Linked DNA regions of Caenorhabditis elegans. Changing the gene in region 1 together with any one later gene gives a genetic interaction. Each region holds a gene or a part of one and is shown in the gene's direction. Other genes may lie near its edges.

What was found.
Region 2: of lin-12 (region 1) and cam-1, changing one suppresses a phenotype caused by changing the other (phenotypic suppression), as found in Caenorhabditis elegans (one study listed by BioGRID).

Annotation. Positions count from the first base shown.
Region 1 is NC_003281.10:9,067,198-9,074,834, reverse strand, and holds the start of lin-12 (lin-12/Notch intracellular domain), read left to right. Parts: upstream 1-3,362; 5' UTR 3,363-3,446; coding exon 3,447-3,595; intron 3,596-5,115; coding exon 5,116-5,234; intron 5,235-6,849; coding exon 6,850-6,906; intron 6,907-7,637. UniProt on the Caenorhabditis elegans protein: Essential signaling protein which has a major role in many developmental processes; involved in cell fate decisions that require cell-cell interactions. Probable membrane-bound receptor for putative ligands lag-2, apx-1, dsl-1 and osm-11.
Region 2 is NC_003280.10:9,306,174-9,313,824, reverse strand, and holds the start of cam-1 (Tyrosine-protein kinase receptor cam-1), read left to right. Parts: upstream 1-3,520; 5' UTR 3,521-3,523; coding exon 3,524-3,600; intron 3,601-7,651.

The DNA of each region.
Region 1 (7,637 bases):
TTTCGATATGAACTGTTCGAGTTGTAGGGAGCAGACGAATACTGGAAATATGATGTTTTATTTCTCACTTTTACAGAGTATGATCCCGGTTTTCTTTTTTGAATAATATTTTTGAATAAATATTTGTGGTATTAAAGAGGTCAAAATGTTTTTCTTCATAAATAACAAAGCGGTGATTCTTTGAAGCACTTTCTAAATAATGATGGCAAATCATAAAAAATGTCAAATACCCAAGTTTCCAACCCAAGTTTTATAGATTCATTCAAACAGTTACATAGATTGATTTATTGCCCTAAAAATTAACTCAGTCAGTTCACTATATGTTGAACAGAATCCGGAAGGATTAACATAACACGTATCTGTTGGATTACTGTAGATTAATGTATAAAGTCGAGAAAAGTTATGGTAACACTCTCTCGTGTTACATCATTGTGCACAAATAAACCGGAAGAAGAAATTGGGGTCTTAACCAACCTCATACATTTTCTGGAGTTCTAAACTTGCGAGTTTATGCATTGAAATTTCGAAGGAGCCGTACTTGAATCAAAGTATCAAATGATAGAAGTTATTATGCTCAACTTAATTTGGAGTAACACCAGTGGGAAATGAGAAAATATCATTTTCTAGTGCTAAAGCTGTTGAACATTATAATTCAAGTAAATTTCGAAATCTTAACAAATCTTAAATCTTAAGATATTCATTTCCAGTCGAAAAGTGTAGATGACTCTGTTTTTCCATATCATGATTTCGGAAGTTGGCCAGAAGAATGAAAAATGGATTTTCCATCATTTTTTAAAATTTTAATTATATTTCAAAGGCTTATATTCAAGCATTGTAAGGGTTTCTGCGACATGGCTCAAAATGTCTCAGAAAGTCATTTTGAAAAATTTGTTCAATTACCAAAACTGACTGAAAATTTAGAAAAATCTAAAAATGTTCAAAGTTAGCATGCTTGAAATCGGATTGAATTTTCAGAAAAGAGAAAAAAAACTTTTAATAAAAATTATGAAATGATCAATAAACATCTGCAACCTCTACTTTCCTAACAATGACTCAAAATTGTAATCGAATTAGCAATAAACCATCGACAAAGGTCTTCGTGTATATAAATATTGCCAGATTGTCCAATATGACGATTCCACCTGTGCAACTGGAGATTGTATAAGTGTACCTGAATCAATCAATATTCAATATCTGCCATCTTGTGCCGAAATGTTGATTCTTTTCTATTTGTTTCATATTTTCGATTTCTTTTTCTTTTTCGTTTTGTTCCATTTGGCTTCTTTTCTACTACTACGTACGTTGATAACAACATTTTTTGGGGAGGCATGCGCCCACGCTAATAATCTCACAATTTCCCACTAAAAGGTTAGTTTTGAAAACATTTTCCCATTATTTTTAGATGCATGATCAATCAGTAAAAAATCAACTAAAACACAAAATAATCATGAATGGTTGAGATAGAAGGACACAGATGATGATGCACTTGTGCAAATAAAAGTAGGAGAACAAGGTAGCCCCATTCACAATATAACGGAAATTTGAATTTTCTTCAGCAACATTTTTTTCATTTTCATAAGATTTCCTATTATCTTTTTTGTGGTAATTTTAAGATTTGACTATTTTAAAACAAAATACCACCAAAGCTGATAATTAATAACGGCCTTCTAAAAAACCAGGTTTTTATAGAGCTATTGTTAATGCCATTTTTAAATGTTTTCTTAAATGTTACACTCATTTATTAACAATATTGTTATTTTTGAAACCTTTCCTTGGCGGGTTCCCATGCCAATAAATCAAGTCAAGAGGTCTTGAGACTAATCCGTCGACGACAGTTCAAAGTTGCCGGTTGATTGTCACGTCACATGTATATGACACCACAGTAACAGACACCTGTGCTCCTGTTGGCTCATCCATCATTTCCGTGTTTTGGGAAAATAGTAGTTAATTGGTAGCAACAACTATGCGTGAATTTTTGCAACAAATTTGGTTCAGATAGCAATTAATTGTCGAGAATAAGGTTATATTTAATTGTGTGAAACAGTTAAAAAAATAATCAAAAAATGATCAAATCTGTTTGAATTCCCGCCAAAAACAAACGCCCACTTTTGAACCAATTAGCGACTTCGGAATTTCCATACTTAATCTGATTGGTTGAAGAATGGGCAGAGCGAATTGCTGATTGGCCATGCAGTTCTCGTTTTGGAGGTAATTCAAATAGAGAGATTAGAAAACACCTTGGAAAAAGCGTGTTCAATATTTTGATTTGTTTTTTTTTCTAATTCTTACTCGATGTGTTTAGTATTTTCAAGCTCTTTCAGCTTTTGAACAGGAAAAGCTATGAAAAATCTCTTCCGCCTATAAAATGGCTAAAAATCATTTATACAATCTTACAGTTGTTCCTAAATGGATAAAACCAAGATATTACTTTTTGAACAAAGCTTAGAAATTTTTTGCAAGTATTGATGTATAAAACTAAAAACTATAAAGTATCCGAATAAACAGAAATAAACAGAAATAAACAGAAATAAAACTCTAAAACTGACACACAAAGACCCAAAAGCCGCAAATCACCATACGTTCCCAGCAGTTCGTTTTCCTCATCTTGATCATTCTTCCTTCCGTTCCCACTCTCTTCTCTTCCACCTCCTCCTACTTCTACTTCATCCAACCATCTGACATCGTCGTTTCATTTTAAAATCATCTTCTCCTCCTTTTCTTTCTCGATGAAAAAAAAGTCTACTTGGTGGCCGCACCGCGACCGCAACAAGTTGGGCGGAGCCATCTGTCTCTCTCTCTTTTGTGTTCATCCTACCCCCACCCCTTCGCCCTCTCTCGTCCTTTTTACTGGGTGAAGACATAACAATAGCCACCCATTTTTTGATTGGCATTTATTTATCCTTAATTAATGATAATGCAAAAGCTACCAGGTTTGGGTTTTATTAGGTTTCGTTTATTGGTAATAATATATTCCTACAGCTCTCACGAAATATTTAAAATGTTTCGAGCCAAGTATTATAGTTTTAAGAATTGATCCTGTTTCCTTCTATTTTGCCCTTGTTTGTTAGTTGACGATGACTGTATTCCTCTTTTAGTATTGCAACTCACTACTTTACTTTGAAAGGTAATATCTCCGCTCATTTTGATGATATCAAAAACTGATTTTCTGCACAATGGAAAAAATATTTTGTCAGCTGACAATTATTATTTAGAACAAATGACAACTGAGATATAAGCTGTCAACACTAAATAACAGGGGTGCAATATTAGTACGGTCCGATCCTTTGCATTTCTATACCGTTTTACTGTCGTCAACTTTCAAACAACGAATTCACTAAATTAAATAATTCAAAACCATTTTCAGAACCTACATGATCCATATCTAAAAGCTAATTTCCTGTCTCTGTCCGCCCTATTGCTCAACAGACTTTGCTCAATTTCAAAAAATGCGGATCCCTACGATTTGTTTTTTATTTCTTCTTATCTCGTTATCAAAATCGCTTCATATTGGCTCATGTCTTGGCTTAATATGTGGAAGAAATGGTCACTGCCATGCTGGACCTGTCAATGGAACTCAAACTTCTTATTGGTGCAGGTATGTGAAGATTTTGCTTAACAATACTTAAACATTTTTTCAAATTTTAATTCAACGTAAAATAAATAATACAAATCTACACATTTTGAAAACTAATCTTAAAAATACGCAATAAATTGGGGGTAAGGAATATTCCTAGGAATTATGGGATTTCCTTTACAAAATTGTCAACTGACCAAATTTTTGTTATTTCTCTTGCTACCGTTTTGTAGTTACCGTATTTCCTCTATTATTCTTTTATTCAAGACTATTAGAGGAAATACGGCAATTCTTTTTATATCTTTGAAATTAACCGAGTTATAACTTTACAAAGTTAAGTAGCTAGGTGCAATACTAGTAAAAGAAGTACTGTAAATTATAACAAAACATTGTTTGTACCAGTAGACTATTCTTCCATAATCCATGCCCTTTTCAAACAATAATTACGTAATCCGTCTTGATTTATAGCGGCATGTGCTCTCCGTTGAGCAGCTAGCTCCTGATAAGATAGGTGATATGGTTCAAGTAGAGACACGTGTCACTTGAACAACACACCATTAATTTATAGTTGATGTTAATTAATAGGAGGACATTGTTCGCACGGGTTCCCACCATTTACGAAACTTGCGCAACAAGAGAAATGAGCGAGTAATGAGAGAAAAAACCCCACAGAGGAGACACCTGCGTCGTCCCTCGCTGTAGAAAAAACTTTCAATTTTTTTGGGAAAAAGTGAGGGAAAATATTGTAAAAACAATACTTTCAGGGTGTTATGGGAAAGTTGGAAAAAGTCGGGTTTTGGATAAATCAACTTCAGAAAAGCAATTCTCAGCCATTTTTTTCCTGCCAATTCTCGTCTCAAAGTCGAAGAAAAACCAGGCAATTAACCCGCTGAGATTCTCATTAAAATGCGAAAGAGAAGCAGCTTTTCCCCCTCCTGGTCTCGCACCGCCGCCAAAAAATCACCCAAATCGGTAGTTTATTGCCATGGGAAAACCGAAAAATACGGGAAATTGAGGGGAGAATTCTTCTTAATGACAAAAAAATACTGGTCTTCCACATTTTTCTTATCAAACAAAAAAGAATGGGGTAGGATTTATGACCAAGTTCCCAAAAGAAATGACCAATGGGGGGTTACTGTAAGATTACTGTAGCTGGTTTTGAACTCCCTATCAGATGTATTATCTGTCAAAGTTTTTCCCGAAAATTTAAATAGAAGTATAGAAAAATGTTTGCACTTTCTGAAAATTGCTTTACTTTCAATTGGCAACTTCGGAAAACTGCAACGAATGCCACTTTTACTCGGCATTTTGAGACTTTGAATGAGAAAAAGAATAGTCTTCAAAATTGCTTATCTTATCACAAATGAGGACTCAGTTGCCACCTCACAATTTTACAGCCGTGTTCCCAGTTTTGTCGGCAAAACATACTGTCGAGTGAGCCTACCATCAGTTGTCATAAAACCATAAAACAATAGGATTACGGTGCCTTTCGGCTGCACGACGTCTTTAATCTTTAACCCTAACCCTTCCCAATGTTTCAGATGCGATGAAGGATTTGGTGGTGAATATTGTGAACAACAGTGTGATGTTTCAAAATGTGGAGCCGATGAGAAATGTGTTTTTGACAAAGATTATCGGATGGAGACCTGTGTCTGTAAAGGTAAGATAATGTAATTTCGAGCTGAATAACTTATACACAACACTTCCCATTGCATCTCATTTTCCTGCAAAACCAATGAGCCAGTAGTGGTCACTTTTTTGCCCAATTCCCATAGGGACCTAAACACCCATCACTCATTTTTTTTAGCCCTCCATGGTGGCGGTGTTGCGAATGAAATGTTTTTTTGGCCCAAAATTCCAAAACTAGGGTCAGCTGCGCGCGCCCTTTTGTCGGTCATCTTTTTGACCACACCATCCATCATAAGCACATGCCTGGTGGAATTGTGGCAAACAACTGACAAAGTTGGGGGTGAATAATAATTTGAAAGTGAATAGGTGGATTTGAAAATTCAATGGAAGTTAAGAAACTAGGAATTGTATCATTTTTAAGACTAAACGAAATATTCGAAGATTAAAAAATAAGAATTTACTTACTCATTGTTAAAGCTATCACAGGTATAATAGCAATAGGCCTATAGGCAACGCGTATACAGGTCTAAATGTCTGCTTCACGCTGACTTGCCGGCCTACCGTCTAATTTTTTAAATGTTAGCTTGAACTCTGTAGTTTGCTGTAGATTGATGTTGAAAATTCAACAAAAATTGAAGACATTAGAAGATTGGAAGTTTGTGGCTACATGTGTAATTTATGCGAAACAGACGTAGGCTGCCTTGTAGGTAGCCAGGCAGGCATTTCCTCATATTTCGAAAGCTTACGAAAACTATGCTTTAAACTTTATGCGCTTACCATTCCCAACTTTCAAAAATTTTACTAATCGTTTTCCGTTAAACCATTTATGAGTATTGCTCCAAACTTCATCAATCTGTAGTTAGTAGATATTTAACAAAGTTACGGCAACCAAACACCTCAATATTTCATCATGACTCGTTTGTATCGAGGACAAATTGAAGCGCGGCCAATCTTTTTCCATTTCTCTTCAGCTCATTTGTCTTGTTGGCGGCGTTAAAAGTGACCGCGTAAGGTGCCTGATAGATAGCTCCTAGGTCATCTGCCCCTCCTAGCCTCTCTGTTTCATGCGCGCTTCTCTATTGTCGATGCGCTTCTTTTTGGCGCGATTTATGTCTGATGTTCGGTATGTGTGAAGAGGGCGGTGAATTGGGCGACGACCCGATGGCGCCTCGTGTGTGTTGCCAATTCTTGGGAAAAAGTGGGATAAATGACCTAGAAATGATGAGCAGATGATGATAGTATATAGGATTTGATGTAGCAGAAGTCTGTCGGAGAAGAAGTGGCAGACGTGGGAAAGTATACATTTGGTTATTGTACGACTAGGCTAATAAGCAAATATACAAGTGGAATGGTTACAGGGATAGATCAATTTATATATTAAAAATAACTGTCTGCTTTTGAGTTCATATGGGTAATGTAGGAGTACTGTAGTTTCTGAAAAAGTGTTTTTGTTTTTTGAAAGGATATTGGAATGAGGTTAGTGGATACATGTTGTATGTGTACTGTAGTGGTAATGCAGGATACTGTAGGGAACTGTGATTATTGTAGTACAATTATTCATTCAGATAATTATTCCAGTTCAACACAAAAATATCCTAGACTTAACTTTTTCTAATATACAGAATAATTATGATAGTAAATTTCAGATTGCGACATTAACGGAAACAGTCTACTAAAACCAAGCTGTCCATCCGGTTACGGAGGTAAGTACTTCCATATTCTAATGCAACAATAACCCGAACAAACAAGTGTAACAAACCACTAATAGCGCCCTGTAATTATCGGTTCCGATTACGTCACAGTACACTTGAGCAAACTTAACGGATTATTGATGGGCATAGTTAGTTTAACAGAGACAGGATTACTGTAGCCGTATGACTTTCCCGTCAACACCGATCATCTTCGAAATGACTCTATAATTACTGGGGGTCGTCTTCTTGACGTCTTGATAATAGAAGGTCGTGGGAAACGAATTCTGAAATGAATTCAGATTCAAAACATTCTAGGTTACGGTATACTTTTATTGGGGCTTTTGACACGTTCCACAGTAGTTGCAAACCCGAAAGGAAACCCCACTGAGACTAGGTGCTCCACCTGTTGTCGGATTGATATAATCTAAAAGATCATGACTGTTGCGTGTTTCCTTTAGTAATAAGATTGACACCTAGTCTCATCTTAAAGATATGTCTTAATTGGCATGCAATAGGCAGTGGTATATATTTAAAAGTGTAATAAAAAATTTTAATTCAGAAAAGAAATTGTGACTACTTCACTTTGAAAGGTTATATCTCGGTACATCTTTGAATATCAATTAATAACCAAGTACTAACCTGTAGAAAAAATTAAAAATGTTTCATTAAAATGTTTCGTTGACATTTTTCAAATAGGACAAACGACAACTGAGATATAAGCAGTCAAAGTTAAAAGAAATACG
Region 2 (7,651 bases), on another chromosome or scaffold:
ATTCTTGCCCATTCATTTAACCGTTCCATTGTTCTTCTTCGTGTTCATCAAAAACGTCAAAAAGGGTTCCCGACATCTAAGCTTTTAGTACATTAGGACGTGTTAGGCTTCTGCTCAAGTATAATTACTCTCTGTTGAGCTCGACAAACCTTCGTGTTACCCCATTCATAATTTGCCTCCTCTTCTTGGAGCATTTCAACAAATCCTTTTGACTACTTGTTCATTGAATAGCTCTTCTCTTTTGAACCATTGTCCCTATTATGATCCCCGCCTTTTCTTTCAAGTTTTCGCTTCTCGCTCCACTGCACTTGCCTATCTCTGTCTCTCAATACTCACCGAAACGTAATACCGTAATTAGGAAACGAGAGAGATTGGTGAAAGGAACAAGAGAATAGAGAGAGGTTCGGTGTGCCATACTTCCTGCCTTGTTTGAGCACGGGAGCCTGAGCTCCTCTGTTGTTGTTGTGTTAGACTCGGTTAGAACACAATGAGGAGACACCTGAGAGTCTTTGAGAATGGAAGAAGGTGCTTGCACTTCAACTTCTCCCGAAATTGATATTCGAGAAGAAGAAGAAGAAGATCATCTATGCTCTTGTGTTCTCCAATTATTTGTAGAAATTTCGAGTTAGAATTTGTACCGTTTCGAATTTAAGACGAATCTTTCAGCTTAGCTTTCTGGCTTGTGAAAACTTTCAAAGTTTTGCATGCTCGCCCTCTAGATTTGAAAGCCTTAATTTAGTTAAAGCATTTGCTAACGTAGTAATTAGGAAAAATAAACTTTGAACATGAATTCATTTTTTCCGATGGTAACCCATGAAATCTACAGTACCTATAGAGATAGTCCAGACCTCCTTAAAAAATTTGAATTTTCTTTGAGCTGTCGCCTTGAATATGTTAAATATGTTCAAACTATTCAATCATTTCGTGTCAATTTTGAATATAATTCAAAACTTTTTGAATGTTTCCTTCTCCAAAATCTCCCGCCCTTTAGCAATCCCCCATTGCTTAATCCGATCTTTTGAACACCTTATTCTACGTCTCTCACTCTATTTTCATTTCAACTTGTTCTCATTTTTGAATAGACAAACTTCCGGAGAGAACGATTACGAATTCTTCAAAACTTCTTGTTTATCCTTCACATTTCAATGGTCCCATTCATACCCTTCGTACCTATGGGTGCCAGAGCTCTTCACACCCTTCTGTTGGCTCAAATCACCATTTTCCTATTTTTCTTCTCTTGGTTCATCCACCCATTGTTGTCGTTGTTGACGTCTAAAGAGGAAGAAGGAAGAAAGAATATTTCTAATTAGAGGTATCCCTCCAGATGTGCCATCTTTTTGGCACATTGGAATCAAGTACAACAAGCGGTCCTAGCTAATCAGATTTCTCTTGTTCCAACTATATGAGCATATGCTAATTTTCTTCATTTTCTCTAGAGTTTTGTTCCAAGTTGTTTTGCAAAATAGGAAATTAAAGTTTAAGAAAGTTCCAGCATAACGGTGAAGACAACTCAAAACCCGATCTGCCCGTATTTTGATTATTAGGACTTTCACATCTAATAGACTCCTATCAAAACTTTCTTTTGATAACTGTACCATACTATAAATTTTTAGATTGTATTGAAAATTTGACACACATAGATTTTTATTTAGCATAGAAGCTTCTGAGTGATTGAAATGCGACTAAACTTTAGTTTTTTGGGAATATTTTTAGTACTACAACATTTCCAGCATGCCTATTCAAAAACAATTCCCACCAACAGAATTCCGTACCAACTCAACTCAATTTCCAATTTTCTTCTCCTACGGCTACTTGTTGTCCATTTTGATTATAATCGTCTATTTCTCTCATAGCTCCTTGTGCTCAACGCCTAATCCTCTTCTCTGCTTCCAACAGCAGCATAAACAAATTTTCACACTCAAGGACCCGCTTCTTGAAATTTCTCTCTTCTACATTCGGTGAACACAATTCTGAAGCAGCACGAGCAGGAGCATGCACTTACTTTCAAATTCTATAATAATCATTTTGCGTTTCTCTTTTTATCCGATTTACGCTCTCAGGGATGAATGCTCCAGTGTATCTAGGATTTTGAGAAACATATACAAAATTAGCTCATGCTGAAGGTTTCGAAATATCTACTGCAGATCACACATGTTTTAGGAACATACATTTTGGCCAATTTGTTTATATCTACCGTATCATTTCTAATAAAATTATTGTAATCATTTACACGTTCTGAAAGTTTTTTAATCGACCTGAAAATATTTGTTCACATAGTCGAAAGGTTTGGAAACCTGCCCATGAATTTACGAACGTTCATTGGACTTTCTGGACATGTGACAATTTTTCAATAATTTAATTAGAAGATCCATGATCTCATATTTTGTGCAATATATAAATGTTTTCTCTGAAATTTAGCTGTTCTTCTTCGAATGGGACTCTCCCAGAATTCCCGTTTGAAATTCCATTCAGAACATCAACAGGAAGCATATCATTTGGTTTTCTCACGTTATTTCCGGAGTTTGTTTTGGACCTTGATTTTCAAGTATAAATTGGGATTTGGTTTCTAGTATTAAAATGACAAAGTGAAATATTAGAAAAAATATTTGGAAATAAAATCATGCAATTAAACATTTTAAGAACACCATTTTAAAAATTTTACAGTTGAGTTTTTTGATGGGTGAAACACCTAAATTTTTGACAAACTTTCGTCATAATTCCACTTTCTTACTTTTAAAATAAGTGACAATCTAGTGTATATCCAGCTGTGTCAGGAAACTCAATTATTTTCCAAATTGCTTTATAAGCCTTATTAGACAGGTGTGAAAACCCGTGTATTACTAAAATTGCATGAAAGAATGCTCATCTTTTCTTCTCTAAATCTCTTTTTCATTCAATTTTCTTCCATTTTTCATCACCAACTCTTTCTTCTAACTCATTGCTTCACAACTCTTCGTGCTCCTGCTCATTTCTCAGTCATCCATCACATTTATTTTACATGCAAAATGAGTGGAAAAGCGCATCAAAATGTGTACTACTAATATGAAAATGACTTTTTTCCCGTCTCTTTTTGTACTTCATCCTCAATTCATTTCGATTTGAGAAAAAAAGTTTCATTGGTGGTCCTGAAAGTTGTCATCTAATGAAAAAGACCTGCGTCTCTTCTGGAAATGAATTCAGAATTAGAAGAGAGAAAAGTTGTCGAATTCATGACTTAAGAAAACTGAAATTCTATACTTTTTCTTAAATTTCCTCTCAAATTCTCATGATAAATTCTGCGATTTCTGAAATCTCACCTGCCATTTCTCAACTTTTTTTTTAGCCGGCTTAAGCTTTATACTTCAATTCAACTTTTGCTTCACTGAACTTTATGAATTTCTGTTTTTTTAAAGTAATATTTGAATTACCTTTTTTTATGTTACTGGTGCTGAAATTCTCGATTCGAATAAATTTTTGAACTCTGTATATTACCATCTCGTTCCATTTTTTAATTTTTATACCCTAAATCTTGAATATTCCAGAAATGTCTCCCCGACCAGAAGACGACGATCTCGTGATAGAACCAGCCGACGATGAGGGTCTTCACTACGGAAATGCATCGTGAGTATTACTGTCTTTTGATACGATAATTATAGTAATTAGATACGGGTGGTAGAAACTGTAGCTGCCTATTTTGGCAACAAACGGTTCGGTTATTTACTATCAGATTAAATGAATATGGGTCAAATACAAGTAGTTTATTAGATTGCCTCAAAAACACAAAATGCTTAAATCTAGTGAGTCTATAGATGTACAGTTTGCTGACTACAAAAATTTTTAACGACCTCTAAAATGCGCGTCCACCTCTTGGCGTATAAAATATAAACTTTAAAAGCATTTAATCAGTTCATATAGATTTTCATATATGTTCATATAGATCAGTTCATATAGATTTTCAAAAAATGTATTTAAAATAAACCCAATTACTTCTTGATTTCTGAATAAAACCATATGGTTACCGCCATCCGTTCCCACATTCATCAAGCTCGCCCGATGAGTATTATGCAGTATGTGATCTTCACCGTTAGAATCTTGATTATAAAAATAATGTTCAATGGGAAATTTTTCTGCAATTCTCCCTCCACCCAACTTATTATCTTCATTCAAAATCTTGAAAACTTCCGTCGTGTCGACTTCCCATTTTTCATCTTTTTGACAAGTTTGCAACTTGCGATTAGTTTTAGCGCAATTTTTATTAGATTTTGAGTTAAATTAATTGCTAAAGGGGTCAACTTCGAAAGTGATTTATTTCAAATTTTTGTGAATTTTAAGTAGCTAATACTTTGTCAATATCAAAAATCAAATCGTTATGAAAATAATTTTTGGCTCGATTTTTGCCTAAGTTATTTTAACTTGTTAAAAAAATTGACAAACTTTATATAGTGCTTTTAGGCAAAACGTGGGCAGAAGCTGAAACTCGCTCAATTTTTTCCATTTTTCGAGCAATACTTGGATATGGTCTCAGTCAAGTGTTACAAATTTTTTCGCCAGTTTTGTATTTTTAAGAGAAAAGTTGTGTAATATTTTGGTGCCAAATGCCGATATCTCACATTTTTGATGAATTTTGGTAATTAGATATAACATCACGATCCAAAATTTTCCGTTAGCACCCATTCTTTTGGAAATTTCAATTATTATTTTTTCATCCATATTTTGTACCACTATAGAGCATCAAAATGTCATTCCGGATGCGGAAATTGGGTTAACTGACACAAGCTCATTTCCCTCAAACAAACGGAGTGACATGCCCATATAATGGATGACCATTCTCCCACCTCTTCTGTTCTACATATTGCATAATCCACTTGACACCTATATACATCCACCAACACCCGGACGTCTTCCTCCTCTTTCACCCATACAACGGACCACCCCCACCCTAACCGTGACCATCTCCTCTCTCTCTCTCTTTCCCTAATATCTGACAAAACGGACTGACCTCTGCCTTCTTTCCTACTGTCAGTCATCCCCTGTGTCTCTGCGTCTCATTGAATCAGTATACTATTTCTCGGGGATTCTGTCGAATGGGCCCTCCCCGCCAAACGCGCTCCGCACATTCATCCGACGGATGGACTACTCGATTTATAATTTATTGGCCTTGTAATGATGACACATCGTAAAAAAGAAGTTAATTTATCACTATTTATTAGTTTCTTTTTCTAATTAATTTATAACTTTCGAATCATTTTTGAACGGTTTTTAGTGATTAGAAAACAGTTTGATTCCAATATTAAGGTCTTATTACTAATCTATAATAGGCATTTTAATACTAGCTTGATTTAGTCTGCTTAATCCTAAATATCGTTCAGTCAATCCGCACTTCTCCTCCCCGGAAATGAAATATTCCTAAACTTGAATTAGCTGAATTTATCTTGAATTTTTATTTTGGTTTCTAGGTTTAGTGTACTAAAATCCTGGAGATAGTTTTAAACAATCTTACGGTTTTTAACAAACCTCCATATTTTGCCATTTGGAGAACTATTCTTTAAGTGCGCAAGATTTGTTTCCACAACTTTTAACTAAATTCTAAATTATTTTTATATCTTCAGCCTCACATGTAGAAAAATTTGTCAAAACTTACTTTTTTATATTCGTTATCAAATCTCTTATTTTTCTTCTTCTCTTATCACCGATTCCATTAATTTGACCTGACAGCCGAGCATGCGTTCCACATCTTTTACGTCATCTATCTATTACCATTCCATCTTCTTCCCGTATTCCAAAACTCCCTTCACACCTTTTGTCTATACTTGTTTCCCAGGCTCTGTCAGTATATTTGCAATTGGATCAATATCCTATTACTCCTGAATAGGCTAATGGAACTCGCATTTCGATGCGAATAATAGTCATTTAGGTGGGCTATTATTACTGACTAGTGAGTCTCGTGTTCAGGTTTAGATGAAATTTTGTTTTGAGGCAAGGTTATACCTGATAGAGCATTTTTGATTTCGAAATTATTTTGCTCAGACTGAACTATTTCCATTTCTTTCAATGGGTGGCAAACTGCAGTTAGTCAATTCACAGTCAACTTTCTTCAGGCACAGAAAAATTGAGTGATTTTTTAAATTTTCATATTAACAATTCCACCAATTGCAAGTACACCCAACAACCGAAAGTGATTGTAAGATCAAAACATTGGGTTGAAAAGTGTTTGTATCTATCTCGGTCTCTTCTTCTGTAGTAAATTGTGCCTAACACACTGTTTCAATGTTTGTGATCCACTTTCCAATTCCGTTCTCATCATCATGTTTATCCTTGTCGGTAGTCGGCTTTTACTGGCTCTCTGTAGAGACTGTGATGATCTTTTATAGGAATTTGTGATTTGTTTGGACAACTTGGAAGTCAATTTTTTAAACTTATACTCCCTAGAAAGATTATTTTCAGAAACTTCTTAGTGTAATTTTTCTTATGTTTCTATTATAGTTGCCCAAAAAATTTCAACACCAAAAAACTACATTGCTTGATTCCAAATTTGAAAATTCGAAATACAAGTCACATACACACTCTCAAATTTGGCACCATGAGCCCATTCTCCATCTCTCTGTGACTCTTCGAATTTCCCCATGTTCTTTAGTTCATTGCAACTCCATCAATCTTCATCATTATTTCAACTATTTACGCGCCCCCAAGTCTCGCACACACACGGACAACTTTCGTGATTTAGTGAGTGAGCACAGGGTCCCTTTGGTGGTAGAAGAAGAAGCGAGAATGAGGAGCCAATGGTGGAGAAGGAGCAAATGTTCGATTAGTTTTGACTGATGCTCTTTTCATTGCTTCTCCTCCCTCCCAATCCATCCGACTCATTTCTCATTTATTTTCACTAGAAGTGATGGAGAGAGACCTAATTAGCTTGTACTCTTCTTCCTGCACGAGTCTTGGAAATTAAATTTGTAGCATTACTACCAATAATTTGTTCATGTTTACAAATAATTCCAAACATACAATAGTTTGTAGGTTGATGCTAGATTCAAATTTAAAAATAGAGAAATCTTTTTATTTTGCTCCGTTGCAATGATGCTCGTCTATCAATGTTTTTTATGTACTTTACCTTTTCTTGATCAATTTGTTCTAACTTTGATTACCCTCTAAAATGTTTCATTCAAACCTTTTAAGAACCAAAATTTCTAAGCAATAATCTCCACACATCTGTTTATCCCCTCTTCATCACCATTCACTGAGAACATAAGCATACAAAAAGCGTACCCTTTTCCATCACCCCGGGACCATACACACTTGATCCGATTATTCTAGGGCTCTTGAGCAGTTTTCTCCGTGTCGTCGTTGTCGATAAGTGCAAAAATCTGCTCAATCTTCGCTTGTTTGAACAATCTGTCATTTTTCGGAAGCTGGGACATGGGACAAGATTTTGAGTTTTTTTTTTGAGATGCTATACTTTGTTGTGAAATTTAATGTTTTTTTGGATTTGATCTTAAAGTTTCCACTGAAAAATTCTATTGAAACTTGCTGGGAATGCGAGTTTTTAAGGTTTCTTAGAAATAAATATATAATTGCTCCACTTTTAATTCAGAGAAGAAAACGGAGAATGTAACTTGAAGTCTAGATAGGCATTTTCTAAAAACCAGGGTGGTTATCATAATTTTTGGCGAGGTTT